Lepisosteus oculatus: one gene and its partners. The protein of the gene in region 1 purifies or fractionates together with the protein of each later gene. This does not show direct contact. Links are inferred from orthologs where the notes say so. Each region holds a gene or a part of one and is shown in the gene's direction. Other genes may lie near its edges. The genes, in order: sf3b1, srsf1a, znf326 and snrpd1.

Region 1 (7,141 bases):
CACAAACACAGCACAGACCAGTGATGATCATTCAATTCAGGGTTGATGTAATTAGTGGCGTACCACAGAGATCTCTACTAGGACCACTGCTGTTGATATCACTGTAGATCATTGATAGTGATGTAGTTCATCAACTAGTCAGGCTCACATAACAAAACAGGAGGATTAGCAAACACTGCAAAAGCAGCACAGGACAGCTGAGAAGATCTCGCAGAAGGACACTTCAGAATTCAGGACTGGGGGAAACACATGGCTGACCACATTCAGGGAGCAAACCGGCCAGCCATATTGTCAACGGGGATTCCCCGGATTCCTGCAAGAACTTACTGCTTGGGATCCCGGGATCACTTAGCCCCGAACGACCAAACAACCACGTTGCACCGAACGGCCCCCTCGTCTGCGACCTTTCCGTTCTCCTTAATCCACAGACATCAGACGCAGTCGCCGCTTCACCTGCGGCAGTACACCAGGCGCCGCTCCTGCTTCACAGACGGGGCAGGAACCACGGCTGTCCCGAACAGCAGGATCACACCTCCCCCCCGGCTCTCGCGCTAACGATCAGCTCCTCCCTCCAGGGCACTCCCAGATCCCCGGCTCCGCTCGGCCACTGGAATTCGCCTGCCTGATTCCCATCTCTTTGAAGCTCCTGTCCTCACCCCCCCCCCACACCTCTGCTGCCGCACTCCTCAGCCTCACACCCCCCCCCCCCGACACACCTGAGGGCTGCCCCGGCCGACACCCGGGCTTTCTTCCTGCGCCCCAGCTCCGCGTGGAGCCCCTCGGCTCTCCCTGCCCCCCAGGGATGGTAAAATTGGGGCTCCCCGGATGCCTTTGACCTCTGGAGAAGACCCCCCTCTAGCTCACAGCGCCAGAAGGCCCCGTCCTGTCAGCCAGCCAGTCAGTCCCCCCAATCCCCCAGCCCCAGTGAAAGAGAGGCCCGGAAGAGTCCCGGAGGGCCCCTGCAGCCCCCATCCCTGCTGCCCAGAGCCAGGGTCCCCCCCATCGGCCCAACCGACATCACAAACGCAGTGACCCACCCGGCTGCCCCCTGGGTCACTACTGACACACACAGGGCTGGAGAGAGCAGGTCAAGCTTGGCCACTGGCACAACACCAGGACCACCCCCCCAAAAAAAAATTCCAAGTGCGGAGCCCCTGATCCAGGGGTGTTCCTCGCTGGTCGGGGGGAGGGGTTCTGTGCCGTTTCCGGTTCCTGGCGAACTGACCCAGCTGGTTACTGGCTACTTAACCGGACCGGTCTGTAACAGCCTCTCCCAGCCGCTGTGTTTTTTTAATAAAGGGAACCCCGGCACCGAGACTACACCCCCCGCCCCCCACACACACGGGCACCGCAGCCCTGTCGACCCGTGGGGTCCGGGGAGGGGAACCGGACCTAGCCCGAGCCTGGACCGACCGGACGGCGATATCTTGTCCCTGCAGCCGTCAGCTCTCTGCTTGACCGCAACAGAACCCCACCTTATCTCAGGCGTGTATATCTATTGATCCGGATCGTTAATCTTACAAGCGATTAAGATCGTTTAGTTAATTTTTTTTTTCCTCCACCGATTCACAGCACCGTGCTCTCCCAGAGAGATGTTCCCAGATGCGGTACTGAGAAACTATGCACGGCATTTAGCACTCTGGAGAGGGGCCTTTTTCTTTAGAAAAAAAATGCAGTTCTGTCTTCCATATTTGCAATTGATTATAACTGTATTGTTTGTTTGTTTCGGCCGGCGTCTGTACGCCTGAGCTGTTTTAATCGTGCAGAGGTCTTGTATAATCTCCACCCCCCCACCCGCCTCGAGAGGTGACTGCAGATTTAAAACTATTTCTCCGAAGTACTGTCCTCCAGCTACCCGGAAAAATAAAAGTGTTTTTCCCCCTCCGCACAGTTAATCAAGTCAAGCGATACAGCTGTCGACTTTTAAACTATTCAACACAGGGCTAAAACTCACCGAAACGCTGCAAAGACACCCGAAATCTCAAGGAGAAGCGAGAAAATCATCTAAAAACGAAAGTGTCCCTTATGTTGCTGTTAGTACTTTATTTAATAAAACACAGTGCACAGAGTTTTCGTGAACTTAAACATCTCCATACTCCGAAGACGTCTAACCAGTGGCCATGACAAACGCAGATGTTATGCGAGTACACATTCGTTAAAACATATGTCGGCTCTTAACAAACAAACAAACAAAAAATATGCGAATGTGTTTTACCGTCTTGACCCCAGCAGAGTTTGAGGTCGGAAATTTTACACAGACTGCAGGAGCGAAGAAACTTTTTTTTGGAAAAAAAAAAAGGTGACACCCTACCTGACGCCATTCCTGGGTGGCCTCTCCCGGCTAGCGGCGGCCGGTAACTGATTGATACATTCGGCAACAGCTCTCCGCAGGCTCCTACAGCCTCTCGCCATTTTCGCTTTAACAAAGTGAGGCCCAGCGCAGGCGACACTTTCTGTAGCGACGGCCCGCCCCCCTTTCCGAGCACACCCTGCAGGGCCGGGGCTCTGATTGGCCCCTGGTCCGGAGCGCTGACTCGTCATTGGCGGCTCCAGCCGCCCGTCATTGGAGAGGGGGGGGGCGCGTGTGTGTCCTGCGGTGTTTGTGTGCCCCGGCCTGTCACGAGATGCTGGATTGAGTTGCTCCGGGCGCCCTGCCTTTCTAAGTAAAGGTTATGGCTAAATTTGGGGTGAGGGCACGGGGAGTTATCTAATTGTGCGTGAAATGTGACTGTGTAAAAGTCAGTCCCCCCTGCGTCAGTCGCTCAATCTTCTCTTTTTTTTTTTACATTCTTTGAATGTCAACAGGTCTTCGTTCTTATACTAATACATGGTTTGTAAGCAGTTTTTCAAAGTGTTTTTACGGTTCATGAGAAACCATAACCACGGTTAATGGTAATAAAGGCCCCCAGTATAATTAACAATTAAGGGAAGGCGATAGGATTCAAACATTTACAAGAGATTACAATATAAAATAAGCACAATATGCTAATAAACCCCGAGTGGTTAGGTTTGGAGAGAAAAATGATTAAAACGCTATATATATATACTAATATATCTAATATATATGAGCCAGCAGCCATATCACTCTGCAACTCACAACTGGCAGCCCACTGAAGCTCAGCAGTATGAGCCTGGTCAGTACCTGGATGGGAGACCTCCTGGGAAAAACTAAGGTTGCTGCTGGAAGAGGTGTTAGTGGGGCCAGCAGGGGGCGCTCACCCTGCGGTCCATGTGGGTCCTAATGCCCCAGTATAGTGACGGGGACACTGTAAACAGGCGCCGTCCTTCAGATGAGATGTAAAACCGAGGGCCTGACTCCTCGTGGTCATTAAATATCCCAGGGCGTTTCTTGAAAAGAGTAGAGGGGTGCCCCCTGGTGTCCTGGCCAGATTTCCCCCTGGCCTTTACCAGTCATGGCCTCCTAATAATCCCCGTCTCTGAACTGGCTCCATTACTCTGCTCTCCTCCCCACTGATATCTGATGTGTGGGGAGCGTTCTGGCGCACTATGGCTGCCGTTGCATCATCCAGGTGGGGCTGCACATTAGTGGTGGTGGAGGGGATCCCCATTACCTGTAAAGCGCTTTGAGTGGAGTGTCCAGAAAAGCGCTATATAAGTGTAAGCAATTATTATTAATTATGAATTAATGACCCAGTAAGTGATTACACTCAGTTTAATGCTCAGTGAATTATTGTGAACCAGATACGATGTTCAGATGAGGGCTTAGGTTCGATAACTCAAGAGAACACAAAAGTTCGGGTTCTCACTACCCTATTCACGAGACCAATCGGGGTACAGACAAAGACTCGTTATTTAGCTCTGCAGTGTATCCAGCCTCCGGGTGTGAGCCTGGTTAGTTTATTATGTCCTGGTTCAAAAACCTGTTCATTATGTTTAATTATGAATTAGAACATACACATTTCTGTTTAATTATGTAATATCTCTTTGGTGGAGCTTGAGCGCCGGTCTTCTCTGATCATCTTTGATCTGAACATCAACATCGTTGTTATTCAATTAACAGATTGAACCCCGGCGATACAGCAGGACACCACAAGGTGGCGTCTTGCACCCAAAGCGCGAGAGCACTTCGCCTTAAGCCCCTCCTACCCCCCCTCCCCGTTGCGCAGGCGCATAAACCTCTCCTTTAGAGCGAGAGCGGAAGTTGCTCGAGCTTGGCCTTCCGGACAGACTCTCGGATTTACGAAAATGGCGAAGATCGCCAAAACACACGAAGGTAAGGAGAATAAGAGGAAATCCTCAAAGTAAATCGCTGTAAATCGTTCATATGGATGGGTTAAGATCCTAATGCACCCTGCGAAAGCAGAGTCGGGTTATGTGTAGCAGGTTTAGGTGTTTTTTTTTTGTCGAGTGTGAGGGGAGCCGGCCGCGCAGTGTGATCGCTCTGTGAACCGAGAGAGAGATAATGGCGCCCGCAGACTCGCCTCCGCAGGGAGTTTATGATTTCAAACGACGCTGTTTTTTAACCTGTCCAAAACGAAAACCTGCGTAATTTTAGACTAGATATCCGTAGCTGCACGCGAATGTATAAAGGGTTGATTGGGAACTGCGTGATGCGCGTTTTCGGTAGGTAGCCCTACGATTCCGAAATGCGCATTGAGGCGCCCGTCGGACATGTGGCATCGTTTCGTAAGACAGAAAGAACAGCAGATGCTCAGGCGAGCTCATCCGTTTCGGCCGTCTTTTAACGGAGGGCATTCGTGTAATCGCCCCTCGAGAGGCGTGGGGGTTGTTTGTTGGCATCAGACGCGCGGTGCAGCGAGCGCCGGCTGAATAAAAATGGCGTGTTAGTGTTTACGCCAGCCAGGGCCACTCAGCTGTGCACAAGCTGCGACCAAAGTCATGCTCATGCGGGCTCGCCTCTCGGGTGCATTTGTGAATGGAACTAAATTTGCCCGTGAAGTATCTTAATTGTCGATGGCCCCAGGGGGGGCAACATGTCGTTCATTTCAACAACGAGGCTGGTCTAGGCTGCTAGTTTGAAACTTTCCAAGTCCTCGGTCCCTGACGCAGCGTTGCCAGAGCTAACAGTCCGGCTCTCGGGTTAAATTCACCCGATTCCCTGAACCGCCGCCCCCCCCTTCGAAATAGTTGGCGTGAAACAGGCTGCGGTCTGGTATCCGGTTCAGATGGGAATCGGGTGGTTTTGCACCGCGGTCTCCGCGCAGGTGCGGGCAGGAGTGGCCAGCGCTGGGCCTGGAGAGCCACAGTCCAGCCGGTCCTACGAGTCGCGCTTAAACTCGAGGCAGAGCTAGCCCAGCTCCGCGGGAAGCCTCCCTTACCTTGTCTTGTTAATTGCTGATGCTATGCTAAGAGCTTGTACCGTTACATCTGTATTGGGGAAGTCTTGACCCTGGAGCGTCTCCTGTTCTTCCTGGGCAGTGACCTCCTTCTGTACTGCACGCCACTAGACGCTTAAACACCACTGTGATCTTCCATCTTGAGCCCCTTCAGTGGCATGTGCAAAGGTCTTTTCTGTCAGAAGGCCTTGGTCGTGTAAATTTATTTTTTGTAAATGTTATTGAGAACATGGTAGCAAGCATGAAGTACAAAACAGGCGTTGCGTATGTTGTCGTACAAGTGTCAGTGGGTGTTACGACTTGATATCCGCTCTCGGTGTGTTCTGAAATCTGCGCTTCAATGACCATTCTTTATTCCCGATGCACATTCAAGGCTCAGTTGTTAAGGTGTGATTGTTGGGATCAGAGCCTTTGCTGGGGTGTGATGTGCTGAGAGAGTGAAATATGAAGTGAAGCGAAGTCTCTTTGCTCAGCGCCCTGTTGGTGTGGTGGCACTGTGATGTTGTGGGAGGGACATTAGTGCCTCGTGATTTGGGATCTGATTCTGAGATGGGGGCACCCATCTGTGTGGAGTTCGCATATTTTGCCTTGTGTGCATGGGTTTTTGCTAAAAAACAAGATTTTGTTTTTGAGGGGAGGGAGGGGCCAGGATGGGATGTTTCTGTTGTTCTGTTGCTGGGGTGGGCAATGGCCAGGGGCCAAGTGGCCTCCCCTCATCTGTGCTCTTTCTGATGATCCGGTTCTTCCTCTCTGCTTTCACAACTCCCCCCCATCCCGCCTGCCTGCCTGCCTCAGACATCGAGGCGCAGATCCTGGAGATCCAGGGCATGAAGGCGGCCCTGCTGGAGGAGGGCGAGAGGGGCGTGGGCCTGGACTCCACTGGCTACTACGACCAGGAAATCTACGGCGGCAGCGACAGTCGCTTCACTGGCTACGTCACCTCCATCGCCGCCAACGAGCACGAGGATGTGAGTTGTTTTTTTTTTAAATAGGGAACCCGGCGTTTATTATTGTGGGGAGAAATGGCGATCGTGACTTTCTGCTTCGCGAGGCTAACTCGCGATGCGTGAATGAAGGGCCGGTGCACGATCTTTAACAGTTCAAGTCGTCCAAGGTCTGATGCTCCTCCCTATCCGTTCAGTTGTGTGTGCTTTCCCAGGATCTCTTTATGTTTTCAGGTATTTTGACGGTCATCGGTTACAAGTCCGATGCCTTTTTTTTTAGAACAGCAAGACGCAAAGTGCCCTGTGATTTGTGTGTAGCGTGGCCCTGCAGTGTTTCTGCAGACTCTCTCGTGTTTCCGTGTAAGATTTGTGAAAGTGTACATACCCGTTGGGTTTAATTCAAGCAGGGAGCTGCGTAGGCTGCAAACAAACAAGGACAAGTTTATTCCATGCTGAAGAGAGAAGAAAAGAAACTGGACCATCCTTCTTTATCACCCGAAGAAGGCCTTCACCGCCGTTTCTTCTCCCCTTTCCAGCGTGGAAGAAACCTTTCCTTGTTCCTTTGCGTACCTGTTTGATGTTTAAGTCGGCGCTGGAGGTGGTGTCATGTCTCCTCTCGAGGCGGGCTGCCGCAGAGCCGGACTGATGAGGTTGTTGCTTTTTCTGTGTTGGTCGCAGGATGACGAGGAAGACTCCTCCACCAGCCTGCTGGGACAGAAGAAGCCGGGGTACCATGCTCCCGTGGCCCTGCTCAACGACATCCCCCAGTCTGCAGAACAGGTCCGTACCTCTGGTGGCTCGCTGTCACCCCCCGTTTTATTTAGCTTCGTGTTGTTAATAACGGTAATATACTTATTCTGCACACTACTCAAAGCGCCA
Region 2 (7,389 bases), on another chromosome or scaffold:
GGCAACATCGTCATCGACGACCACATCGCGGAGCAGGTGAGCGTGACCCCGCCGGTCATTGAAGAAAATCCGAACCCACACCTCATGGCACAGCATGCCTGCATGGCTCTTTGCTCTGCTGCCACACGGCTCCTGGATCCTGGGTTCGAGTACTGGACCTTCTGTGTGGAGCTTGCACACTCCTAGGATGTTTCTTGAAAAGAGTAGGGGTGTTACCTCGATGTCCGGGCCAAATTCCCCCCTGGCCTTTACCAATCATGGCCTCCTAATAATCCCCATCTCTGAACTGGCTTCATCACTCTGCTCTCCTCCCCACTGAGAGCTGGTGTGTGGGGAGAGTACTGGTGCATCATCCAGGTGGGGCTGCACACTGGTGGAGGTGGAGGGGATCCCCATTACCTGTAAAGCACTTTGAGTGGAGTGTCCAGAAAAGGGCCACTTTTTTAGTGATTTTTCACCACACTGACAGATGGATCAGGTTTGCACCCCCTGCTGGACAGATTGCACTCCTTCCTTGCCCCAGTCTCCTGACTGAAGTGTAGGTTAAGTGGGATTCTTTCGGCAGCCGCTGGCTGTTCCACTTGGTTGAGGAAGACGTGATCTGAGCGAGGTCCTCCTCTGCTTGCAGGTGTACAGCGCGGTGAGCTCGCTGCAGCTGGCCGTGGCCGAGCTGGAGGCCGGGAACCTGGCCTTCGCCTTCCAGTCCAGCAAGGAGGCCATCCTGTCCTCGGAGAGAGCCTTCTTCGACCCCTCCCTGCTGCACCTCCTCTACTTCCCCGACGACCAGAAGTTCGCCATCTACATCCCCCTCTTCCTGCCCATGTCCGTGCCCATCCTGCTGTCGCTGCTCAAGATCGGCAAGGAGTACCGGCAGAGCCGCGCGCAGCGTCCAAAGAGGGACTGAGAGGGGCCCCGCTCGGCCTCAAGTGGACCCCCTTGACCTCTCTCCTCTGGTTTTCTATACATGCATCTACGGAGTGTGCAAGGAACAAGTCCAGGTTTATTTTGTGCTGAACGGAGAAGAAAAACGCAGCGTTTCTTCTGATGCTTGAAGAGGGCTCCACAGCCGAAACGTTGCGTTTCTCTTCTTCTTCTCTTTTCAGCAGGGAATAAACCTCTGCTTGTTCCTTTGCAGCCCACGCGTGCTGACGCAGCTCCCTGCCTGAACTGTACAGAATGAGGGTGTGTGTGTGCTTCCCCTGAAGAGGACCGGCATGGTAGTGCTTTGTCAGGGCGTAAGACCTACTGCATCCCGAAACCTTCTTGAAACGTTCTTCAAACGGTGCACGCACCTGGATCAGGAAGGTTCAAGTCCTACTTCTCGGTCCCCTTGGCACCATGAATAGAAATATGCGTCACAAAGCAAGCAGCTAGCCTGCCTGTCATTAGGCATGCAGTAATTGGAGTAGGTACGTCAGCATGCGTAGGCTGTAAAAGAACGGCAAAGGGTTTATTCCGTGCTGAATGGAAAAGTGTAGAAGGCTGCACAGCCAAAATGTTGTCTCTTTCCCTTTTAACATGGAATAAACTTTTATCTGTTCCTTTGTATACAGTAAATTACTAAGGTGTCTGCTCTACGTTGAGACCAGCGCACTGGTTTCAGAAGGGTTGTGGGGATTGGCTTTCTACCGGCATTGGGCCCAGCACTGAAATATGCTCATCACTGGATTATTTTCGAGTCTGCTGTTCATGGATCGCAGACTTTCTCGTTATGACGTTTTGGGTGCTCGACGTGTCTGTTCATTCGCTCCTGCAGCTCAAAGGATCCGCGATGGACTCGGTGTCGGAACGCTCTCCTCTGTCGGATGGTTTTCCCGGCAGGATGTGTTGAACGTGGAGGCAGTAAACACAGTACGAATGTGATTGATCTGGATGCCATGCTATTTCTGTCTGGATCAGTATATGTATGCGTGTGGTTGTGTTGTTTTCTTGAGTATTTGTTGTTTGTGTTTCTTAGAACCTGTTTTCTTGTGGGGTATTTCTTCAACATTCTTGATTGTTGGATTTATCTATTAAGAGAACAGTTAAGCAGATGCTGTATGAAGCACAGTGGGTGAGAGAGAAATCTGTGTGAAAACTATTTTATTTATTGTGTTGATGGTATATTTTAAGATTCTTTAACACCTTGATAATAACCCCCTACATGAACACGGCTCTTTGTATTATAACATTAAGAATTTAAATGTAGAAATTAGAATTACCTCACGGCCAGTGTTGTTGCATGAGAATGAAATGGATTTCCTATCAAAGATCAATTATTTTTATTTCTAAACTAGAAAACAGAGACTCTCGGGAAAGGGAATGTCAGTGTAGCTCCGAGATGAATTCTGGGACTTCGTTGGCACAACAAACCTTTCCTAGAGCAGAAAGTTTAAATATCACACCTGTGGTGTTCCTTGGCAAAAGAGTTACAGTTCCCAGCAATAAATCAAAGCCTAGACATTAAACAGAAAGTAAATAAAGTGTATAGGCACAAACAAACTGCTTGAAACCTGCATGTTTCTACAGAGGTTACCCAAGAAAGACTGTACACGATAGTGGTTGAAACAGGCTTTAAATCCATGCCTGCATACAGCACAGGTAGTAGTTCAGGTGGGTAGCTGCGTCAGCATGCGTAGGCTGCAAAGGTATGCTGCTTACAATTGTATATGGGGTTGTACTGGTAACTTGCAGAGAATGACCTCTTAACTGGCTTCATCCTCTCTAGAAACCAGGAATGTATTTCCATTCCCAGGAGCTGACAATATTCCCGAAACTGCCTTGGGAAAAGAGGAGGGGTGCAGGCTTTTTGGGAAAAAGAGTTGTGGGGAGGTGGGGTGGGGTGAATTGCCCCTTATCCCCGTTGTGCTGTTGTGTGCCTGGAATGTGGCGCCTCTCAGGCTCACAGGCGAGACACGAGCACCCTGCTGCCAGCCTGTTTCACACAGCAGATGCCCCGGGCTGTCGCCCCGGTCCCCATGCCTGTGTCCAAGTGCATGAAGCCGAGAAACTGCAAAAGGCCCTACACGCGTTTCAGATTTTTAAGATATTAATCAGACGTTTTCAATTTGTTACATTACTGCTCCCTTTTTAAAATGGGAAGGTAATGACTCAGGGCCCCTTGCGACAAAAAAATACAAGTGTTGACTGAATTAAAATCAGGCTTTTCCATTCAGTGGCCAATTTCAAACTTAAATCCATACACTCTGCCACTGACGTAGGCTTGAAGTGAGCTGTTTTTAAATTTCGTGCTGAAATCCTTGTTTTCAACGTAATGGAGTGTTGCAGAGTGAGGTTAAGGCCCATGCCTGCTACTAACTTTGACCTGAACGTGTTTTTTTTGTTGTTGTTGTTATTGTTTTGTACTTTTTATTTTTGGAGGGGCAAAAAGAGTCGCACCAGAATCTCTGTGAATCAAAATAAATAAAAACAAACACAGATGAAGTGTGACTTGTGAGTCCTCTCCAGTTCAGGGAAAGTGTCCCTGCTCTTTGTGTTGTCTAAGGCTGATGTTTGTGTTGGTTTGTTGCTGCTTAGCAACCAATAACTCTGCTATGGGCTCAGTGAAGAGGGTGATCGTGTTTAAATTTCTGTTTGTTTGTCAAGCAAACTTATTTCAAATACTGTCGGTTATTCCACAAAGTTTTAAAAAGAGAGCACACAAAGAGAAAATGGCCGACTGTTCCCGCACGGAGTGGCCGGTGCTTTGTCTATACAGAAGCCAGGAGCCTGGATGCCCTTGAGGGGTTTTATCTGCTGTCCAAAGAGACTAACGGACACGGTTACCCCCCCGTCCAGTTCAGCTGTGAATAAAATCCACATTCTTGAAAACACTTAATCTGTGGAACTGCTTTCAATCTTTCATTTTCATTGCTATCGCCGATTAAGGCAATAAATAGTTTGCATTTCGATTTCAGATTTGGGAGTCATCTTTCGAAAAGCGTCTCATTCAAACAAGTTTTTAAAAGCGAGTGATGCACAGCACACTTAAGACTAACAAGCTATTTATCTGTAATGTCTGTTTCTGGGCGTCTGGTCCTAGAAATCTGATTTCTCAACACTAAACCGTTCTTGGATACACTGATATTGTAGGGTGTCTTTTATCTTTTTGTTTTTTTGCATTAGGCATTGTAATACTATCGAAATCTCTTATTTTTTCAAACCTACTTTATGTAGGTTTTGCACAATTTGAAATTATGAGGTCTGTTGATTGTACATTGCCTTCGATAAATAAAGTCGCTATTTTATAATAGAAAAAAAAACACATTTTCTCAGTTTTCAGAAACTCATAGTAATTTGAAACTGGCGCAGGAGGGGCTTCGGGCGACGCGACCTAAACGACGTCACTGTAGCGTGTGGCCCCCCAGCATAAAAGTTCAGGGTTCGCTACAGGTTCCTCCGTTATTTTATTTGCAGCAGCGGAAGAAAAATATCGAAAAAGCCAAAGCCTTTTATACATTTATTTTCCCTAGTGGGCATTTAACGTACTCGGTGTTTTAATTTTATTTTCCACGCTGGCGCAGCGAAGTGGTAAACAGGGGATTATTTTATAGGTCGGAGGTGCACTTCCAAGCCGGAGAGCGCGGAGCGGGCTCGGTCGGTTGTGTTCCTCCGCCAGCGCAAGACGGTTCAAACGACTGGGACAGCCGGCGCCATTTTGAAGAAGGCAGGGAGCGGAGTGAGTGCGTGGAGACCGAGGCGCACGCTAGAAGATAAACGGGGCATCAAGTTTGCAGCACGTGAGCCGTGAGCGGGCAGGCTGCTAGCCGTTTGTCATTTTTTTTGTTTTAAGTCGCGGTAGTAGCGGTTGAGCGGTTTCCTCGCACGATGTCTGGCGGTGGTGTGATTCGGGGCCCTGCTGGGAATAACGATTGTCGGATCTACGTGGGGAACCTGCCCCCAGATATCCGCACCAAGGACATCGAGGACGTTTTTTACAAGTACGGGGCCATCCGGGATATCGACCTGAAAAACCGGCGCGGAGGACCGCCGTTCGCCTTCGTGGAGTTTGAGGATCCCAGGTGAGGGAGCCGGGCAGGGAGGAGGGAGAGGCGCCGTGGGCAGCACGCGCGGCCTGCGCGGCGCGGGCCTAGGGGGAGGCGCGCGCGCGGTGGGTCCCGTGTCTGCACGATCCTGGTGGTCGGGGCACCCGGAGCCCTGCCTCGTTTGTGCTCGGGGGGCGTTTGTTATGCCTTTTTGTTTTTTCTCCATCGATTGGGCGCGGAGTCTTGTGCAAGTCGAGAGCTAAGGACCCGTTGAGCGTGCGCCTGGCTCTTACAGGTCATGCGGTGTCGTACCCTGTGGCCGGGGCGCTGGAAGTCGATTGCCTGGTCTGTGCGAGGGCGCACACGCGTGTTCCTGGCTACGTGGAGCTGTACCGAGCGTTGGTCAAGCTTATCTGAGCAGATCACTCGGAATTTCGATGAGGCCCTATAAAAACTGCGATGGTGCTGATATAAGCTTCTAGCCGGCTTCTCCCGCGACGCGGCGAGGGTCCCAAAACCCTCCAGAGTCTTTGTTCCTTTGTTGATTGTAAAAAGTTTTCTCTTGGCCCCGGTTTATATGCTGAAGCAGTGATGCAACTTTTCGATCGCCGTTGCAGCGTTGTAAATACAAATTGTCGTCTGTTAAACTTTTTTTTGTTTCCTTCCGCTGGAGATGAGGGACGGGGTCGATAATTAAAATAACCTCGGGGTTTCCCCTAACTTTCGGGAGATTAAACACCAGATGGGGGGGGGAAATACTAGTTCACAGCGCCGTGAAACCATGCTTCACCTGCTACTTTTCAAGCATGCAGGATGTTTCCCCTATTGTGGTGGTTTGGCGCTCATTTTCTCGCCATGTGACGACCGCCGCCAGCCTTGTTGTAGTGGAGGAAGCTGGCGGCGCTCGGAGCCTTCTTATGATTTCTGTGTCTAATTCTGTCAATCGCGGTGAAATATTTGGAATACTGGCATTCACCGACAAATGCTTTATCTTTATTGTAGTTTGCGTTTGCCCCCACCTCATTCCTGACCCCATCTTTGTCTGAAACAGTTCATGCGTCGACTTTGCTCACCTGGTGTCTTTTATTCCTGAGCTGCCCAGAAAAATGAACATTTATTCGTGCATGGGGGCACGTTCAAATGATAGTAGTGCCAATGGAACAGTTTCGAATTCATAATATCACGCGGTTATGAAAACGTGCTGTGCGGTTTGGTTTATCGCGATATGGGACCTGCTGACGACTCGCCGGAAACGCGGATGAGACTGAAAGACATGCGAATATACTCGAGGTACTTTCTGCAGCTGGTGTTCGCCTGTATACACGTGTCTTCCCCTGGCAAACTGTAGGGTGCCTTCCTGCTGTTGTGGGGAAGCATATTTGTTTAAATTAAGCTTTGCTAACCAGCAAACAAATCCACTGTCTTTCCTTCTTGTACACCCTGGTTTCTGAAATAGCTTCAAGTCCTGCGTGTGGTGCTGTTTTCAGGGATGCTGAGGACGCAGTATACGGACGGGATGGCTATGACTATGATGGATACCGCCTTCGAGTTGAGTTCCCCAGAAGTGGGAGGGGCACAGGTAGAGGGGGCGGAGGTGGGGGGATTGGAGCCCCCAGAGGCCGATATGGCCCCCCCTCTAGGCGATCGGAGTACAGAGTCATAGTTTCAGGTAAGCCTCACTACTGGATATTGCAAATCTCTATGCATGAAGTACAAATGGAGTCTGTTACTCTTAATGCAACAAATGATTCTATCTTATCAATTCTTCAGTATACTAGTCATGAATGATCTTTTTATCAAGAGAGAGAAGTTCACATTTGGAAATATTTCCCAATATTGTGAATTTCTAACTGCTGTGAAATCATTTCAACAGTTACAATTAGTCATTGGGCAGTAATAGTAATAATTGCTTACACTTATATAGTGCTTTTCTGAACACTCCACTCAAAGCGCTTTACAGGTAATGGGGACTCCTCTCCACCACCACCAATTTGCAGCATCCACCTGGATGCAGTGAGTGTTTTTTTGTGGGTGGTCAGTTACAAATGCATCTTTCATCTTGTATTGATCTGGGTTCTTCTGCTTTGCTTCCAGTTGCTTCTTTTGATCAGGTCTGCAATTCTCTGCTAGGCTCATCTTCTCTTGTAGAGGTCTTCCCAAGTGGCAGTGATTCTCTCGTATGTTATGCTGACGTTTTCCGAGATGGAACTGGTGTTGTGGAGTTTGTTCGCAAAGAAGATATGACCTACGCTGTACGAAAACTGGATAACACTAAATTCAGATCACACGAGGTAGGTTTGAGGTTTTCTAACTGGACCTGCATTGGATACAAAGTTCATAAATGTTGGATTTTTCTTTTAAGGTAAGCAAATGAGCTGGATTTAATGACATTTACTGGGACCTTCTTGTAAGTGAGATGTCCCAA
Region 3 (7,905 bases), on another chromosome or scaffold:
GAACATCTGATGGATGGGAGGTTTGTCTTAGCTTGACTTAGCTGATGGTTTGAACTGTAGGAAGTCAGTTGACATGATCAAGAAGGGTCCAGTTAGCATGCTGAAGACTTCAGTTACTGCAGCGTTGCCTGTTCCACACAAGATAAGTGGGGTTGTGGGTATTAGTGACAGTACAGGCACTGTTTCAGGATTTGTGGACAAACAGTCTACATGTCTGAAAGAAAAAATAAAGCAGCTGAAGTCTGGAAACCTGGAGAGAAACCCATAGCTGCTGAAGAAAGTAGTTCTGGTCATTCTTTTCCATTTTATATGTTTTTTTTCAGAAAAAGACCAGTGATTTGTTTTACAATGCTTGTGCTGTTCATAGCTTTATGCTGTCTCACTGAGGGGGCTCCATCACCAAGCTTTAAGATTATTAGAGTTATTGTTTGTAATCTGCTTTTAAAAAGCTTTATATCCGAATATAGCTCACAAACTTGAGTTTGCTTTGTTAAAACGTTTTTTTCTGTTCCTTGTGCTTGACCTGATTCTTAGCTGACAGTACCTGTACCACCTGGCTCAGAATTCGGTCGGTCACTGTTCGTCGGGCTGCAGCCTGCTGTGGTGGCGTTCTGTTTCTGTACTGTCGCAGAAGAAGCGGTGAGCTCCTCTAACACAGCTTGCCTCCGTGGCGTCACGGCGGCTTGCGGGGGGGGCAGTGCACAGCTGACCGCTTCCGGGTCCAGTCGCCATCCTCTCTGTCCAGGTCCGGAGCATGGCGGGACCTGGCTCCCTGGCCGCACCGAAGTTTCGGAGTTTCTTTTCAACAGAATAACCGGTTTTAAAGACTTGCCTGCGTGGGCTTCATCTGCCTGAGAGCCCCTGTAGCTCAGAGCTCTTGATGTAACTTCCTGGTGTGTGCACGGTGGTGAGAGCCAAAGACACGTGCTGCAAACCTGCTAGCATTTACCATTGTAACCCTGGTGCACCGTTCCGTTTAGGAAATGGGGAGAGAAAACATGGCTGTTGTCCTCTCCTTTGGTGTCCTTCATGTTCCAAACAGTATGGCAGCAGGTCTCTTGAGCAGTGTGTCCTCATGGTTCAGGTTGGAGGACCCTTCATGAATACACACACCACAACCTGTGCTACAGCGCTTTCAGGACCGAACCACCAGTGCAGCAAAAGCATGCTGACTTCGTCCTCAAAGCGCCATAATTCACTTGAAGCATCACATTTCTTTCAACAGTGGCATTTTTACGTTTAGTTCAGGGGTTAAAGAAGAAGTGTGAACAAACCAAATCAGTTCAGTTATTAAGTTGCACATGGCAGCAGTTGATTAGAATACATCTTTGGGAAAAGGAGTGTGGTGAGGTTTTAATAAAAAGGGTAATGTATACAGACAGGGCAATGATAGTATTCATCCATTCTGAGAATGATAAAGCTTTAAGAATTGTCTAGTGTCAGGCTTTTTGTACATTTTTTGTGATTTTTTTAATGCTAAATTGAGTAAAAATGTGTTTTTGTTACTGTGGAATGTATAAGGCATTTCATTTTCCCTCCAAAAAAACACAATACATTTTAATGAGTATGCAAAAGGTAACCCATGAACAGCATATATCTCTGAATGAACAGATACCTTCTGTGAGGAGAGTTCATGCTCTAAAAGTAGGCGAAATATGCAGTGCTAAGTGTTGATACAGATCTGTCACACATCCTACGTATAGGACTATCTCTTGTTGGCGTCTTGCGTTTAATAGATATTTAACAACAGAAATTATTTCTGCATGGTGTGGAGAGGGGGCCAAAAGAGGTAAAGTAACCCTAGAGCCTGTTATGTCACTCGATATTTTTGTGAGACTACTTTACACAGAGCTTTCATTTTGAATCGGACAAAGACGACCCGGGTGTGGTCAGTTAATATTTCAGTGGTTGTTTAAAAATAATAAAATATGTAATTAATATTAACAATAAACATAATCTTCAAGCCGTAAGTCAGACACAGGCTGTGGGTTGTCATGATCCCTGCTCGGTAAACGAGGCTTACTATTATGTGCGAATGACCAAAAACGTCATTTTATCTCTTTTTTTTATCATTTTATATCAGCTTTTATCATTTCACCTGTGCTCATCTAGCTCACATACACTGTTCTATGTCTTCAGTAAACAAGACAGTCTCTCTACAGAGCTTCATTACGGACTGATTTCCCTGTTCTACTCGGTCTGGACTGAAATAAGCCCCGCAATGTAAAAACAGGCCTCTAGGCTCCAGCTCTTGAGCTGTGCTTGGAATGCAGTGGAAGCCTGATGTGACTTGAATCCAGGCGGATGTGAGTGAATATTCAGCTTTACCCTGAGAGCCAGGAGAGGAGGAAATAGCGACGTGTTTCTCATTCCATTCCCCTTCAGGGACTTTGTTGCTCGTCCTGTGATTAAATATCCCTCATTAAGTCCTCCTGAAGCTAGCTAGATCTGACAGCTGGGATAAACCAATTTTGCTTGTTACTGGTTTTGACGTTGTTAACCCTTGTTAAACTTTCAAATGGCTTCTCGTTTCCATGGCGCTCCGCTGGGCCCGTGGAACAGGTGTGTCCGTGTGACAGCCCCAGGGCCTCTGGAAGTGCAGGACCCGCCGGAATCGAAGGACCCCGCTCTGTGTCCGAGTGCGCTGTTGCCTGGGAAATCTGACACCGCGACACAATATCCCCTCTGTTTCCAGCCTCACCAGACCAGGCCCTCGCACAGACGAGCCTTTACTGACATTTTGCTTGTCTTTGAGGATGTAGTAGGACTTTTAGCCCACACTTCTAAGTGTAAGAATTTGAACAAAATAGGACAAAGATTGAACTGGCTTTTCTAGATTTCTGCCCACAGTATACGTTCTCCATACAAGCAAGCTCATTGGTTTAGTTTAGTATTTTTTGCTTTGAATCTGTTTTGCTTCTTTGTGTTTTTAGTGTAGTAAAAGCTCTGACATTCACCCATACGGTATCAATATTTAAAGCAACTGCAAATTGAAAACTTGATAAGGAAGTACTAGGGGAAGGACTTCATTTTTATTGTACTTATAAAACTTTTGTTTCTGAGGATCAATATAAAAGGTTGTTTTTTATTGTACAATAAAAACTATGGGCACGGTTTGTTTAATAACATAAGTAAAATATATCAGGATAAATCGAACCCAATAATCCCTTCTGTGAGGCATAACTGTGTGGCCAAATAATGATTTGAAGTTACCTGATTTTATACCAAAAATTAATGTCTTTTCTTATGGTGTTCTTGTGTATACCAAGGCCCACCAAATATTTTCTTTAATTTATGTAAATCATGTATGTCTGAAATGAATGCAGCAAAATGGACTCATTCAGCTTCCAAGGTGTCCCCACTGAGTGCTTCAAGGAATAAGGATGACCTGTGCACATTTGATAAAAAATGCTGCAGTAGCTCTGCGTGTAGTATACAGGATGTCTGAAGTTTCTGATTTGACATCAAACCGTGGACAAAGTGTCGGCATATTGCAATAATCTGAAAAATGTATTTTAACGAAATTCTCCAGTAAATTCTTGTTCTGTTTGTTTTTTCTAAATGCTGTATATAATTTGCAAGATTTTTGGAAGAATAAATGCGTTAAAAACATGAATATTTGAGTTCTGTGATTTGTGCTAATTAACAATTCTGTGCAGAACGTGAAAGCTGGGAAGCATCGCATTGACTTCAGTGTTGTCGATGGCCCGACAATTAGGATATTGTTTAACCTTATAACCTTATCAACAAAATAAGTTGTGCACGTTAAGAAATACCGTGGCACGTGTAATATGTTTGTGTATATATAGGTTCCCTCTTATTAGGCTGTGTAGAGATGCCACCAATATTTAATGATTCCAATCTAGGAAATTTAAAAATGTATTTCGTTAATACAATATTTAAAAAGAACTAAATTGTGATTTGCTTCCTCCTTTTAACTTGTTCATTAAAATATGTGTAAACGGATACTATGTTTAATTTAAAGACGAATGTTTAATTTAAAGTGCCTCACTATATTTCATCCTGTTTTTTCGATGCTTGGAAATATCGTCAACAAACGGCCTGTTACGTTTATGAACAGCTGAATTTTAAAAAGCCTTTAGGAGAAGGGAGCGTTTATTACTTATTGTTAAAATATAGGCCTTCAGTGCAGGTGGAACTAGTTTCCAAGAACTTTTCGTCAACTTCATTTGCCTGGACGGACGAGGAATCTAATTTAAAGATCATGTTGGAAACAACGGAGCAATTATCGAGGTGGACCTGCTCAAAGGACCATCACAAAGAAGCATTGGGAAGTGTATTTTTCCTGAAGCACAGAGCGCCCCCTAATGGGAAAAACGGCGAATATAATTTCTTAGTGAAAAGTAAATTAAATGCACAAAATGAAAACCGAGATTTTTAAAGCGTGTTCAGGGGTTTGTTCACGGGCTCATACGACAGTTGAAATCCATATTCACAAAATTTGCTCACGAATTTCAAACCTTGAAATTGATCTCATTTAAAAAATAGGATTGGTAGACTTCTGATCATTATAGTTTTTATTTTATTAACATGGTCCATGAAATAGTGACAACTTTCGTTAAACGTAACACATGAAGTATTACATTTTAAGTGCATCAATTTTCTGTAGTCTGTAGTAAATTCTAGTCTTTGCCTGTTATTACATAGAACAGAATCCATAGTATCGATACCCTGATTAAAACAGGAATGGGTATTTACAAATTAAAAACCTTTGTGCACGTAATATGAACTTGGTAGACGAGTAAGCAGTCAAGCAGTTAGGGGTTTGACAGCTAGTAAAGGTTTCAACTCACATTTATATTCTGATACATAACGTCTAGCTCTAACGCTCTGAGGTTACGCTTTTGTAGCCCGGAACGTGAAAAGTGAAAGACGCAATTCCAGCCGGACCTTTCTGTCTGTAACACGAACAACAAAGGGGGCGAATAGCATCTGGATGTTGCAGGTAAATACTGAACATGCTACAGATTTTTCTCATGTTTAAGTGTGCCGCTTTCTAGAATTTAAAACAATATTAAATGTTCTTGATATTTATATATCTCCATATCCATGTTTTATTTCATGTGTGCCGGGCGATTTTTTTTTTCATTTTTGCGCAGCTCACCGGGCCTTTGTTGAATATGATTAAACTGAAAAATGTGTGGGAACGTCTACCAATAATTTCATGGTGAAAAACGAAACTGGGAAACTGTACTACACGAAGCTATTGATTTCTTGATTTAGTGATAGAGGCGGACAATAATTCGTAACTAACTGGTTCTGCGGAAAACGACGCTCCTCCGACCTATTGTACTGGGATGCCGTGGTGAATACGTCCAGTTTTACACAAGCGGATTCATAATGCAATCGGATGCCTGTTTAAATATTTAAAGACTTGTATTATAACCACATGCAAATGCGTTTTAAACCTAACATACGCTTTTGACTGTAATCGTATTTTGAAGACTAGGGTGTGTCCAAGTTAGACCTAGCTTTATGGTTCTCTTTGGTCTATTGTGTTTTAACATTTATTTTATACGTATTTAAATATATTAACCAAACAGATAACTATATTTGTTCCCAATAGTGACATGATTACTGGTGGTTTGTGAAACAGTTATTTAGTATTTTATAAGGTGATATGTTTTATATTTCACCGGTGGGGAGTCCAGGTCCTGGACAACCACAGTCCAGCAGACTCTGTGGGTCACCCTCAGATCCCAGTGCCTGAACAGCTGGAACAGAATTTCGTTCTGTCCCCTTCTGCAGGCGATTTGTTGAAATAAGTAAATCACGAAAATGTCATGAAATTAAAATATTCCACTGCTGCCTTGATTGAACCATTGAACTTTCTAAATTGCTCAAAACCGATGTGTTCCAAGTCTTCACAAATTTATTATTTAGAGGTGACGTATAAGATCTGCTGGACCTATAGCACCTCAGGTGTTTTTAAATATCAGTATTCTCAAAGGGTGGGGTGTGGTTTCTTGAAAAACCCTTTCATACCATCACAGTTGGTGTCTTTGTTGTTGCTCCTTCAGTTAACATAGCTGACATGGTTCCGTCTACAGAAATGATTCGTGGAAATGGCAGAGGACGGTTTGGAGGACCAGCTCCAAGACCCCTAGAACCGTACAACTCCTTTGAAAGGTGAATTCGAGCGCACAGGGAACCGTTACGTGAAATATTATGACTGCTGCAGCCCAGGCTCGATGCTTTAAAGCCGAGTTTTGTCCCAGTTGTGAGTGTGCTTCGGTGTAATGTCATTAGCTTGTGCTTCAGTTAGGAGCTAGGTTTTGTTAATAATAGTGCATGTTATTTTATCTAGGTTACGGAGGTTTTTATTCTTCTTCTACATGCAAACTTAAGAGCAAACATTTTCTCCGCAGGTACTCGGAAAAAGAAGACCTGATGACATCACCCTTGGGGAGTGGAGGTGAGAACCTTCGAGTGCTGCATTTCAGGAATGTGAGAGTTTACAGAGATGAAGGAAGCCCTTCCACACGTTTAGCTCATTTGTTCGTTGCTTGTAGCCAAGCAGTCTGAGGATCTTGTCCAGCTTTTTAAGACTCGGCAATCTCTCTTTTATAATGTGACCAAACTTGTGCACTGAAGAGTGTGCTATCAGTTAAATATTTTGGTAAAAAACATCAGTTTTGCTGAAGCTTTTGGAGGAAAAAAAAAAGACCTGTGGTGTGCTTTTTAATTTGAAGTTTCTGCTTTGTGGTTGCATGACTTTGTATTACTGACAGTTTTCCTTCTGTGCCTAGCACGTTTTATCTGCTGTGCCTAGCATTGCACGCTTCCTGACTCATCTTGTCTTTGCTCCCTGAAAACTTTCTTGGACTTGGGGAAAAAATAACAAGTAACCCTATGATGGGTTTTTCTTATCTTCTAGTGTAGCTGAATTGTATGTAGGTTTATTCCAGTCTTGGCTAAGTGACTGTTCTAAATGAGGTCTTATTAAAGCCTATTAAAACTGTACAGTGTGCTAATTTGAAGATGTGGGACTGCAGTGGTTCCAAAGATGTATTTTTCTATCTCTGGGAGAACCATAGTGACATTGTCATTAAAGGTGCTGTGTGACATAAACATGATTTTTCTGGAAGCAGTACAAATTATCCCTGTAACATAAAGGTGCTGTTGGTTTCTGTTGGTCTGCAGATATGAGCCATGGCTGTTCCCAGAGAAGGTACGCAGGCCCGGTCTCAAGGCCCTTTGACAGCTTCGAAGGAAACAGTCTTGAAAGGTAGGAGATATTTCTAGTTTTTCCAAGACAGAAACGTTTATTCTGTTTTTCAGGCTGCATTGAAAGGATAGTATTTTTTCCATGTCTGTGTATAATGTTTACACGTCATGGAACAAGACAGAACTGTAGTGTTGTAAACGGAGTTTACAAGCTGAATGTGATTTGCTCTTTCCCTAAATATGTACATAAAGAAAATTGATTTTGCTTAGTTATTTCACAGTTTACAAGCATAAATAGAACTCTTTAGTTTCTTCTTGTATTTCTGTATTGTGAAAATGAAATATTTTATTTACTCCCAGAAAGATTAGTTTAAAGTTAAAAAAAACACAAGTTTAAAGAGACATGGCTTTATCATCGTACTGTCAGACTAGATGGATATTATTTAAAACCAAGCTGACAAACTGTTTTTTTCATGACATAATTTTAATCACATTTTCCAGACTTTATTTTGGAAGACTGGTTTGTAAAAGAAAAGGTATTGGCTCTGAATTCAGCATGCTGTCTTCCTGTGCTGCACACACTGGACATTAGCTAGTGATATTCAGACTTGAGGAAGAAAAAGAGGTGATACGTGGATGTTTCATTGTTCACAAATTGAAAGGATGCTAATCTGTTTTGTGAGTCACCTTGCATTAGGACTTCTGATTAAGCATATA
Region 4 (8,005 bases), on another chromosome or scaffold:
TTTTTAAGAGTGAAAGAAAAAAAAGAGGCCAGTAACATTTGGCCAGGCCTTTGTATTACAACGGGCTTACATTATTACATTATTGAAAGTACATTATTAGTCTGAGCTGTCTCAGCTAACCTTCAGAGCACTTCGGTGTGCGGATTCTGATCAGCAAGGGCAGCTGAGACATTGCAGTTCTGTCGTGCGTGATCTTCTCACCTGCTGCGCTCTTTCGCCTGTGTGCTTGCAGGTGACACCTGGACGGAGACCCTGGCTTATGTGCTGTTCTGGGGCACAGCCAGCTTCGGGACCGCAGCCATCATTCTCTTCAACGGCAAGGAGTTCGTCGATGCCCCGAAGCTCGTCCAGAAGGAGAAGATGGACTGAATGTGTGCGTGTGGAAAGCAGATCGGTTACCGCGATTCCTCCCTGCAGGCCTGGAGTTTGTACTGACCTGCTCTCCACACCATGGCAGGAGGCTATCCTCATAAGCGTTGGGTTTTTTTTCTTTCGTTTTATTTTTACCATCAAGAAACAGTTTCTGTCTTTGGGTGTTTTAGGGGGTGTGGGGATCTAAAAGAAGCGTCATACATCCGGAAAACAAAACCCCTCCTCAGTGTCTGACACCGTCCGAGATTTAAATAACCGCTCCGTTTTGCTGTTCACCCACGTGCAGCATCTTCTACAGGTGATGTTCAGATTCCAGCAGATTGTACCGCAGCACTTATTCTCCTCTTGCAATTCCCACACTTCTTACACAGAGCAGAATTTGCAGTCTTGGTTGGCTTTTGCGCCAAACAAGGTGTATAACAGGGCCATAGTCAATTCCAGGTTTTTTTTCCAGATTCACTCTTTCAGATTCAAATCAATTCCCAATTCCAATTTCTTTTTCACAATCCCTGAACAGGAACTGGGAATGGACCTTAACCCAGATCTACAAAGAAGTGTTAGCATCGAGAACACTATATTCCATCCTTTAATGGGATCTTTATATGGTCTCAGCATTCAGTATATGCATTGTCGCTGGTTTAACACCCTTTTTAATTAACATACTGACGGAAGACATTTGTAGTGTCCCGGTAGAAATTACATGAATACTTTGATAAAGTGCAGTTTTCCTTGTCTGTATGTAATTACTTTGTTTTAACTAAATTAATTACTTTGAAGAGGATATACCAAAAAGCCTTATTGACAAAAAATAATTGCATGATTGTCCAAAATAATAAAGGAAAGGAAACCAGAATGAAATCAAGGTGAAAGAAGGAATACATTTTCCCTTTTCACCATCTTATACCTTATAATCTTCCAGTAAAACAGTCCTTTTACATTTGAGCTCCTGTGTGGGGGAAAATCCCAAACTCCTGAGAGTTGTGAGGTTTCACAGGTGTCTCTGAACATTGCCTGAACATTTTTGTTCTTTGCACAGTCACTTTGTAGGAGATTATTTTTGTAAGTTCTTTAACAAGAAGTAAAGTTCCTAGGAGTAACACAAAATACAGAAGAATAACATTTGCTGCTAGAACCTTTGAGACAATAATCATCATACCTCAAAACTGGGTATGAATTTAAGTTGTAGAAAATTAACATTGCCAGATTTAAGATCATATAAAGTTCCCATCGGACCAAATCATTTTAACCATGTAAAGTGCCACATTAGTGTGGCTGGTCTGTCTGCTTTTGCAAATGTTCTGTTTGATTGCTGGACTTAACACCACTGGGTTGGGTTTTGACTGGTTGCATTGTCATTGTGTTTTGTCTTGTTGTATTGTGCTCTCAGCTCTGCAGTTAATCAGATTTCAGCTTGAATGTCTGCCTTACAAGCTGTTGAACAATGGGGAAAGTGTTGATAGACCTATGGTATATATTAATAATGTAAATTATAATGTTTCTTTCTGATAAGTGGGCTTCAGGATGGTCTTAACAAATCAGAGAATGTATAATTGGTTAACATGCCTTGTATGTGTTTTTCCACTTTTAATTTAGTGGTCCAAACCATAAAATATTAACAGTGTTAACACATTCATTATACTGTATGTACTTTTTTCCCCAGGTCAGCTTTTTCTTAATAGTACCTTAGCAATTTAAATAGGAAATCACAGACTTGAGATATCAAGTTGTTTTAACCTTTGGTGCAAATAACCTACAACTTACTTTTACTCTTTTTTGCATGGAAATTCTTCATTTTTAAAAAAAAGCATTTTAACATGATGCAGATACTTTCAATAGAAAAACAAAAGAGTTGTGGGGATTTGTGTTTTAGGTGGACAGAGGTACAGATCCACCCGTAGGTTAAAAGAATACCAGCCTGCTCCCCCTCAAGTTTGTTTTCAGTGCGATCTTTGTCTACATATACAAATGACTTTCAGATCTTTTTTTTTTTATTGTGTAAAATATTTCCTTGTAATTATGTATTGGACAGTTTCCTTGCACTTCATACACAGTACACATCTCTGTATACAAAGCTATATTTGAAAATGACTTGCTCCAGTGTGGTTGAGGTAGACTTAATTTAGAGAAAGAAAACAATATTAAAACTCATGTTGTATTGCAATGACTGCTACAAAACATGTCAATTCATCTGGATCAAATGCTTTACTGCCCTTAAAGGGAACATTGCTGTTTATACTGTAGAATATGACTCCTGAGTTGTTGTACAGCTCTTTGTGCAGATGTAGTGGATATTGGTAAAATCATTTCTGATCATTCTTTTATGTCCTTTTAGTGGATGATATGCTCACCATTCTGTATATTTACCTTGGTAATAATGTGAGAGATGGATTAGGGATATTATATTTCACTTTGTCTCATTAGATTTAGTTGATTTCTAAATATTGACACTTGGTTAGTGTTTTACAGGGAGGGCTGTCTTTAACTTTGCAATAAAGTCATTAATAGATCAACATCTGTTTCATTTCCTATTTCAGTCATTGCTGTTTTATTAGTGCTTTTCCTGTAATGAACTTGAGAAACCATTCCATTATTCAGATGTAAGACAAAAACATTTTCATATAAATGAAGAATAAGGATTTCATTTCAATAATGACAAACCTGGTATATTATTAGCGTTCATATTTTACAAACCCCTGTTCTTCCTCTTGCGGTTACATGTCATGGACAGAGTTATATAGTTATAAAATACAGTAGAAGTCAGGGATGAAAATGGGAGTAGTCTTTTAAAGGTAATTTTTGATTAAACTAAGTGCAAAGGTCACCTATCTTTAATGAAATAATGGTTTAATTGTAACTTCAACACTGCAAGTTAAAATTAAAATGTTTTGTACATCCAAACCTATTTGGGAAGATGTTCTAGTTTCAATCCACAAGTCTGAGCAGTCGGTACATGTACAGTGCACCGATATTGAGACTAGCTTTACAGACTAGAGCCTCTATCTATAGCTTTGCATTTGTAGTTCAGTGTTGTTCTGCACATGCCCAGTTTGGAGACGGTGCACAGTTGTATCGCTGACGGACTGTATGCTTTCTGCCTTGTTTTAAAGAAATGGAACTGCCACAGCTTTAATTCCATTGTCATAGAATGAATGCATGATCATTGCAGGAACTTTCGTCCAAAGTGAATAAATTCTCAAATTATGTCAGGTTAACATGGTTATGGCAAGAGATTTGCATGGATGTGCCCAGGTTACTTGATGTGCAGGAAATTCATCTGTTTGTTTGGAATTTACAGTTGTATCTTGTATCTAAATTTAAGTAGAAACTTTTAATGACGGCTATAACCCTGGCCATATCACCATGCATGTGACACGATTTAATCCAAATGCTACATCATTGACTATACATTGTATATTTATTGCATGCTTGCTGCTTTTTCTTTCTTGACAGATCAAGTACCATGCTTTTCACACATCTATATGCCTGTCTGCTTTGATCTAATATCTTTTGAGAGTGGATAAGATAATATAATGACCATTACCTAATTACTGAAGTATTTTATTACCATTTGCTTTGGCTGAGTACAAAAGAGTCAAGATAGCTCTAGCCATCATGATAGAATGGATCCTATTATGTCTGCTGTGCATAAATACTAAGAAGCCAGTTCTCTTCCTAATGTATTCAAGGTAAGGGGTAGAGAAAAAATATTTCCAGTGTGTTCAAAATTGTAATGATTTTTAAAAATGTTTTGTTGTGGCTGTCTGCAATACCAAAATATCGTTTTCTCACTTCTGTCATTCCATGTTTTAAGTGGTATGTTTTATTTGACAGAATTAATAAATTCTCATGAAAAACAGACATTTGTAGTCATTTACTTCTGATTTGTCTTCTGTGTGTGCCCAAAACCTGGCTTCTTTTTGTTTTGTAAGCGATTCAGCCGTGACAAGCTCGTTATAAGGAATCATCACATCTAAAACAAATAGAGCAAGTTTAATGTGGTCGTTTCAAAACTGCACAGGAAAAAAAGTCCCAATTTCTCATTATAGTCCTTAATAACTGCAGAGAATAATAACTGCATGGTTGTGCCATTTCGCCCCATCTTGATGGAACAGACGTTAAGCTGCAACAGAAAATAAATGTATTCTACATGGTAAAACTGATAAACATTTGACAACTGATATATGGCAATAAGGTATTTTTAAAGTTTCCAGTCACAGAGGAAGGGTTAGGCAAATATTTATGCTTTTATAGCTGCTGGCGTGGAAGCACATCACCTGAAAGTTATGGGCGCTGTTACCCCTTGGCACCGTGTTTCAACCAGCATAGACGAGTAATAAGACCTACGAGCGTAAAAACGGCTCTTCCACATTTCGAGAGGAAACGCATCTCGAAAACACTAGTGCACTGTGCTTTATTTTCGATAACACGTTTCCACCCACAGCAACGAAACGAATCTCCCAGCTTCGTCCTCGGCAGACACCCTGCAAGAGGGCGCCGTCTTCTTGTTCCTCCACTGAGTAATGAAACACACGGTGGCGCTGTGCTGAGCCTCCCATCCCCATCCCACGCCCGAGGCCCCTCTTTGCGTCTTTCAGCGCCTTCGGTGCGTTTCCGGGTCACCGCTGCCTTTCACTTCCGAGTCAGTTTCCGATTTAATGCCGGAACGGCCCAGCGTCGCTGTATCGTTTCGTGTATAATTTTTTGTCTTACTCCGGTGGGGGATTTCTTCTCGCCATCAGCCGCCAGCATGAAACTCGTGCGGTAAGACGTTTCGGGGTGTTTCGATCTTGGGGCCAGCGTCGCTAAAGGGTGTAAAAGCGCAGGGATTGCCGAGGATGGAGTCAGATTGTGGGTTGTTTTCAGCTCCAGAAAGCGCCGTTCGCGTCGGGGAGACGCGGGAGGCGGGAAGGGGTGAAATGAATGGCCGATTCAAACGGCTTCCAGGGGGTGGGAGGGAGAAACGCCGTTTCGCGTCGGCTGCTGCAATCCGAAATCCGCGCCTGTTGTCGGTTGTGTTGAAGCGGCGGGTCAGTCGAGTCCCAGCGCGGCTCTTTAATTTCTCCGCACAAAGCACCGTAGACGTGCTGGAGAGGAGCGCCGGCCCGCCGGAGACGTGTTTTCATCCGGTCGGTGCGACTCGGTTTTCCTGGTTAGCCTCCCGGTGCGGGACGGTGCTCGTCCCTCTTGCTACCTGACGGGTGTTTTATGCACTGACTTTCCCCTCTCCCTCCCACCTTTGCAGATTTTTGATGAAGTTGAGCCATGAAACCGTCACCATAGAGCTCAAGAACGGAACTCAGGTCCACGGCACCATCACTGGTAGGTGGATCGGCTCTTGTTGCGGTGTTTGTTCTCGAGAAGCCCACTGGGTCGGTTTCCCTCAGTAACGCTGTGGGTTTGGAGAGCTGGACCATCCGGTCCTTTGTCTCGTTTCGAGACGGGAACGGGCTGTCTCTCGCAGCACGCCTGGATGGAGGGTCCTTCCGAGCCCGGGAAAAGATCTGATCGATCTTCCGCCGGGCAGAGGCTCCATGCCCCAGTGATCCTTAAAATCCACGAAGCTTATCCCTCGCCAGAACAGCTTCCCTTCTCACGAATGTGTTGAGCATGAGCATGTACTAACTGGCTTTGCTGGGTGATACTCGGGCATCTCTCTGTTTAAGGATAGTCGATCCCTGAGAAAAACTGTTTACTTGCCTGCTGCAATAACCTGCAGTCAGGGATCACCCGGTGCAGGGGATAAAAGTATTTGCCATCTTTTGGGGGTGCTTCCTGTTCAGACCTCAATGCGTGTCCTGTGTGCTGGGGATCAATTTAAAAGTCAATCCGACAGCGAATTCATACCAGATTTACTTTAACCTTCAGCCAGTCATAGGAGAGAAAGGTGGGCTAATTGGTCAGAAAACCAAGTGTTCTTTGTGCGACCATGAGTAGGATAGCTCACCCCCTTTCCCGTGTTCGTGTGCTGCGCAGGGGTGGATGTGTGCATGAACACTCACCTGAAAGCTGTGAAAATGACGTTGAAGAACAGGGAGCCTGTCCAGCTGGAGACGCTGAGCATCCGTGGAAACAACATCCGCTACTTCATCCTGCCGGACAGCCTGCCTCTCGACACCCTGTTGGTCGACATCGAGCCGAAGGTCAAGTCCAAAAAGAGGGAAGCAGGTAGGAGTTCTGAGAAGATGCTTTTCCTCAGCAGTCAGATATATCTTCGGAGTAGAAGTGCGTTTCTTCACGCAGTTTTAAATAAGAACTTAAGCATATTCCCAAAAGAGAGGAGGTCAGGATCTCTTCTTGAGGTTTCTCGAGAGAAGCCGGGGTATCGGCTTGATCAACATGGTGGCCGGCTTGTTCCACACTCCCGCTACCCTTGGTGTATTTGGGGTAATGAAGTGTCTCCTGTTCCTGGGTTTAAATTGTCCTATGTGTGGTTTCTTGTTGAGGTTGTTTGAAAGGACAGTTGGAGCAGCGGTTCATGTACAAAATCATATTTCAGTTAAGACTCATTGTTTGGTTGAATACATTCAACTTCCTAAGCTCAGAGTGTAAACCAAGAAAATATTGTTGCATGTGCTAGGAACTGCCTTAGACGTTCTTGGTGCCTCTTTATGTAGATGAAAATGAAATCAGTTTGCTAAGACTAAACCATCATAGTAATTCATTGCCTGAAGTTAAGTTTCTGCTTGTTTTTTTTGGGGTGGTTCACTGGGGTGCAAAAAAACTGAGGCATTTCAAAGTATTTCTATGTTTTATATACTGACAAAACCTTAAAGTAAACTAAAGTCATCTTATAGCAGACGTTTCAGGTGTGGTAATATGGGTTTGTACTTGTCGTAGTTTATAACGAGAGTTTACTTCCTGAGCTATTCCCAGGAAGTTGCGTGAAAATAGTTTATATGTGGATGTAATGATTGAGAGTCTCTGTGCCCCTTTTCCTTAACCCTCACGGTATCTTTAAAGAGCGGCTCGGTTTTCTTCCGTGGTATCTGGACGTCTGCACAAACAGTGGACAGGTTCTCCTCGGCGTGTGTAACCCCCTTCGCTGTTTTACTGGTGTGCATCGCTCCTGCTCTTCCGCTCGCGGGCTGGGCTGGGCCGTGAGGCGGCACGGCGGGTGACTGGTGTCTGTCCTCTCTCGCAGTGGCCGGCCGCGGTCGAGGCAGGGGACGGGGCAGAGGCCGAGGAAGAGGGCGAGGCAGAGGAGGACCGAGGAGATAACTTCGCTCACTGCTGCTGCTGCAAGTGCTCTCCCTCTCTCCGGCAGAGGCTGTCTGTACAGTTTTTTTTTTATTTCGCAGGAAAATGTTGTGGATGATCTCCCATTTGTTTTTTTATATCTAATAAAAACCATATTCCTGATAACATGGCGCCCTGTTTAACCTTTAACACTTACAATTAATCTTTCCTTTGGGTGGGATAGATACTGCTCTGTACTGTATGTGTTGATGGAGAGGAGTGTTTGCAGTGTCTTGCTAAGCGAGACGGATCTTCTTGGCATTGAGCTGTGGGACTGGCTTGTATTGTTGGGGGCCTGTTGATGAATCCAGGCTTGGCCCTTGTAAGTTGTCTGTGTGCAAACGCACAGGGAGGGTTTAAACATTATTGGTCAATCTCTAATGCATTTCTTCAGCCC

Evidence for each region.
Region 2: the proteins of sf3b1 (region 1) and srsf1a fractionate together in Homo sapiens (co-fractionation; 3 studies listed by BioGRID and IntAct, with this or other methods). This does not show direct contact. The link is inferred for Lepisosteus oculatus from reciprocal best matches to the Homo sapiens genes SF3B1 and SRSF1.
Region 3: the proteins of sf3b1 (region 1) and znf326 purify together in Homo sapiens (co-immunoprecipitation; 3 studies listed by BioGRID and IntAct, with this or other methods). This does not show direct contact. The link is inferred for Lepisosteus oculatus from reciprocal best matches to the Homo sapiens genes SF3B1 and ZNF326.
Region 4: the proteins of sf3b1 (region 1) and snrpd1 fractionate together in Homo sapiens (co-fractionation; 5 studies listed by BioGRID and IntAct, with this or other methods). This does not show direct contact. The link is inferred for Lepisosteus oculatus from reciprocal best matches to the Homo sapiens genes SF3B1 and SNRPD1.

Annotation. Positions count from the first base shown.
Region 1 is NC_090707.1:7,058,966-7,066,106, reverse strand, and holds the start of sf3b1 (splicing factor 3B subunit 1), read left to right. Parts: upstream 1-4,140; 5' UTR 4,141-4,206; coding exon 4,207-4,234; intron 4,235-6,113; coding exon 6,114-6,286; intron 6,287-6,940; coding exon 6,941-7,042; intron 7,043-7,141. Other genes in the region: coq10b (coenzyme Q-binding protein COQ10 homolog B, mitochondrial), read right to left, coding at 2,312-2,412. UniProt on the Homo sapiens protein: Component of the 17S U2 SnRNP complex of the spliceosome, a large ribonucleoprotein complex that removes introns from transcribed pre-mRNAs.
Region 2 is NC_090721.1:9,632,232-9,639,620, reverse strand, and holds the start of srsf1a (serine/arginine-rich splicing factor 1), read left to right. Parts: upstream 1-4,384; 5' UTR 4,385-4,806; coding exon 4,807-5,000; intron 5,001-6,451; coding exon 6,452-6,685; intron 6,686-7,131; coding exon 7,132-7,255; intron 7,256-7,389. Other genes in the region: pigs (GPI transamidase component PIG-S), read left to right, coding at 1-36, 629-904. UniProt on the Homo sapiens protein: Plays a role in preventing exon skipping, ensuring the accuracy of splicing and regulating alternative splicing.
Region 3 is NC_090704.1:1,170,330-1,178,234, forward strand, and holds the start of znf326 (DBIRD complex subunit ZNF326), read left to right. Parts: upstream 1-4,905; 5' UTR 4,906-4,966; intron 4,967-6,071; 5' UTR 6,072-6,073; coding exon 6,074-6,150; intron 6,151-6,389; coding exon 6,390-6,436; intron 6,437-7,159; exon of another isoform or gene 7,160-7,164; coding exon 7,165-7,249; intron 7,250-7,905. UniProt on the Homo sapiens protein: Core component of the DBIRD complex, a multiprotein complex that acts at the interface between core mRNP particles and RNA polymerase II (RNAPII) and integrates transcript elongation with the regulation of alternative splicing: the DBIRD complex affects local transcript elongation rates and alternative splicing of a large set of exons embedded in (A + T)-rich DNA regions.
Region 4 is NC_090705.1:41,557,463-41,565,467, forward strand, and holds snrpd1 (small nuclear ribonucleoprotein Sm D1), read left to right. Parts: upstream 1-4,996; 5' UTR 4,997-5,119; coding exon 5,120-5,133; intron 5,134-5,614; coding exon 5,615-5,691; intron 5,692-6,345; coding exon 6,346-6,537; intron 6,538-7,513; coding exon 7,514-7,590; 3' UTR 7,591-7,734; downstream 7,735-8,005. Other genes in the region: sacm1lb (phosphatidylinositol-3-phosphatase SAC1-B), read left to right, coding at 233-369. UniProt on the Homo sapiens protein: Plays a role in pre-mRNA splicing as a core component of the spliceosomal U1, U2, U4 and U5 small nuclear ribonucleoproteins (snRNPs), the building blocks of the spliceosome.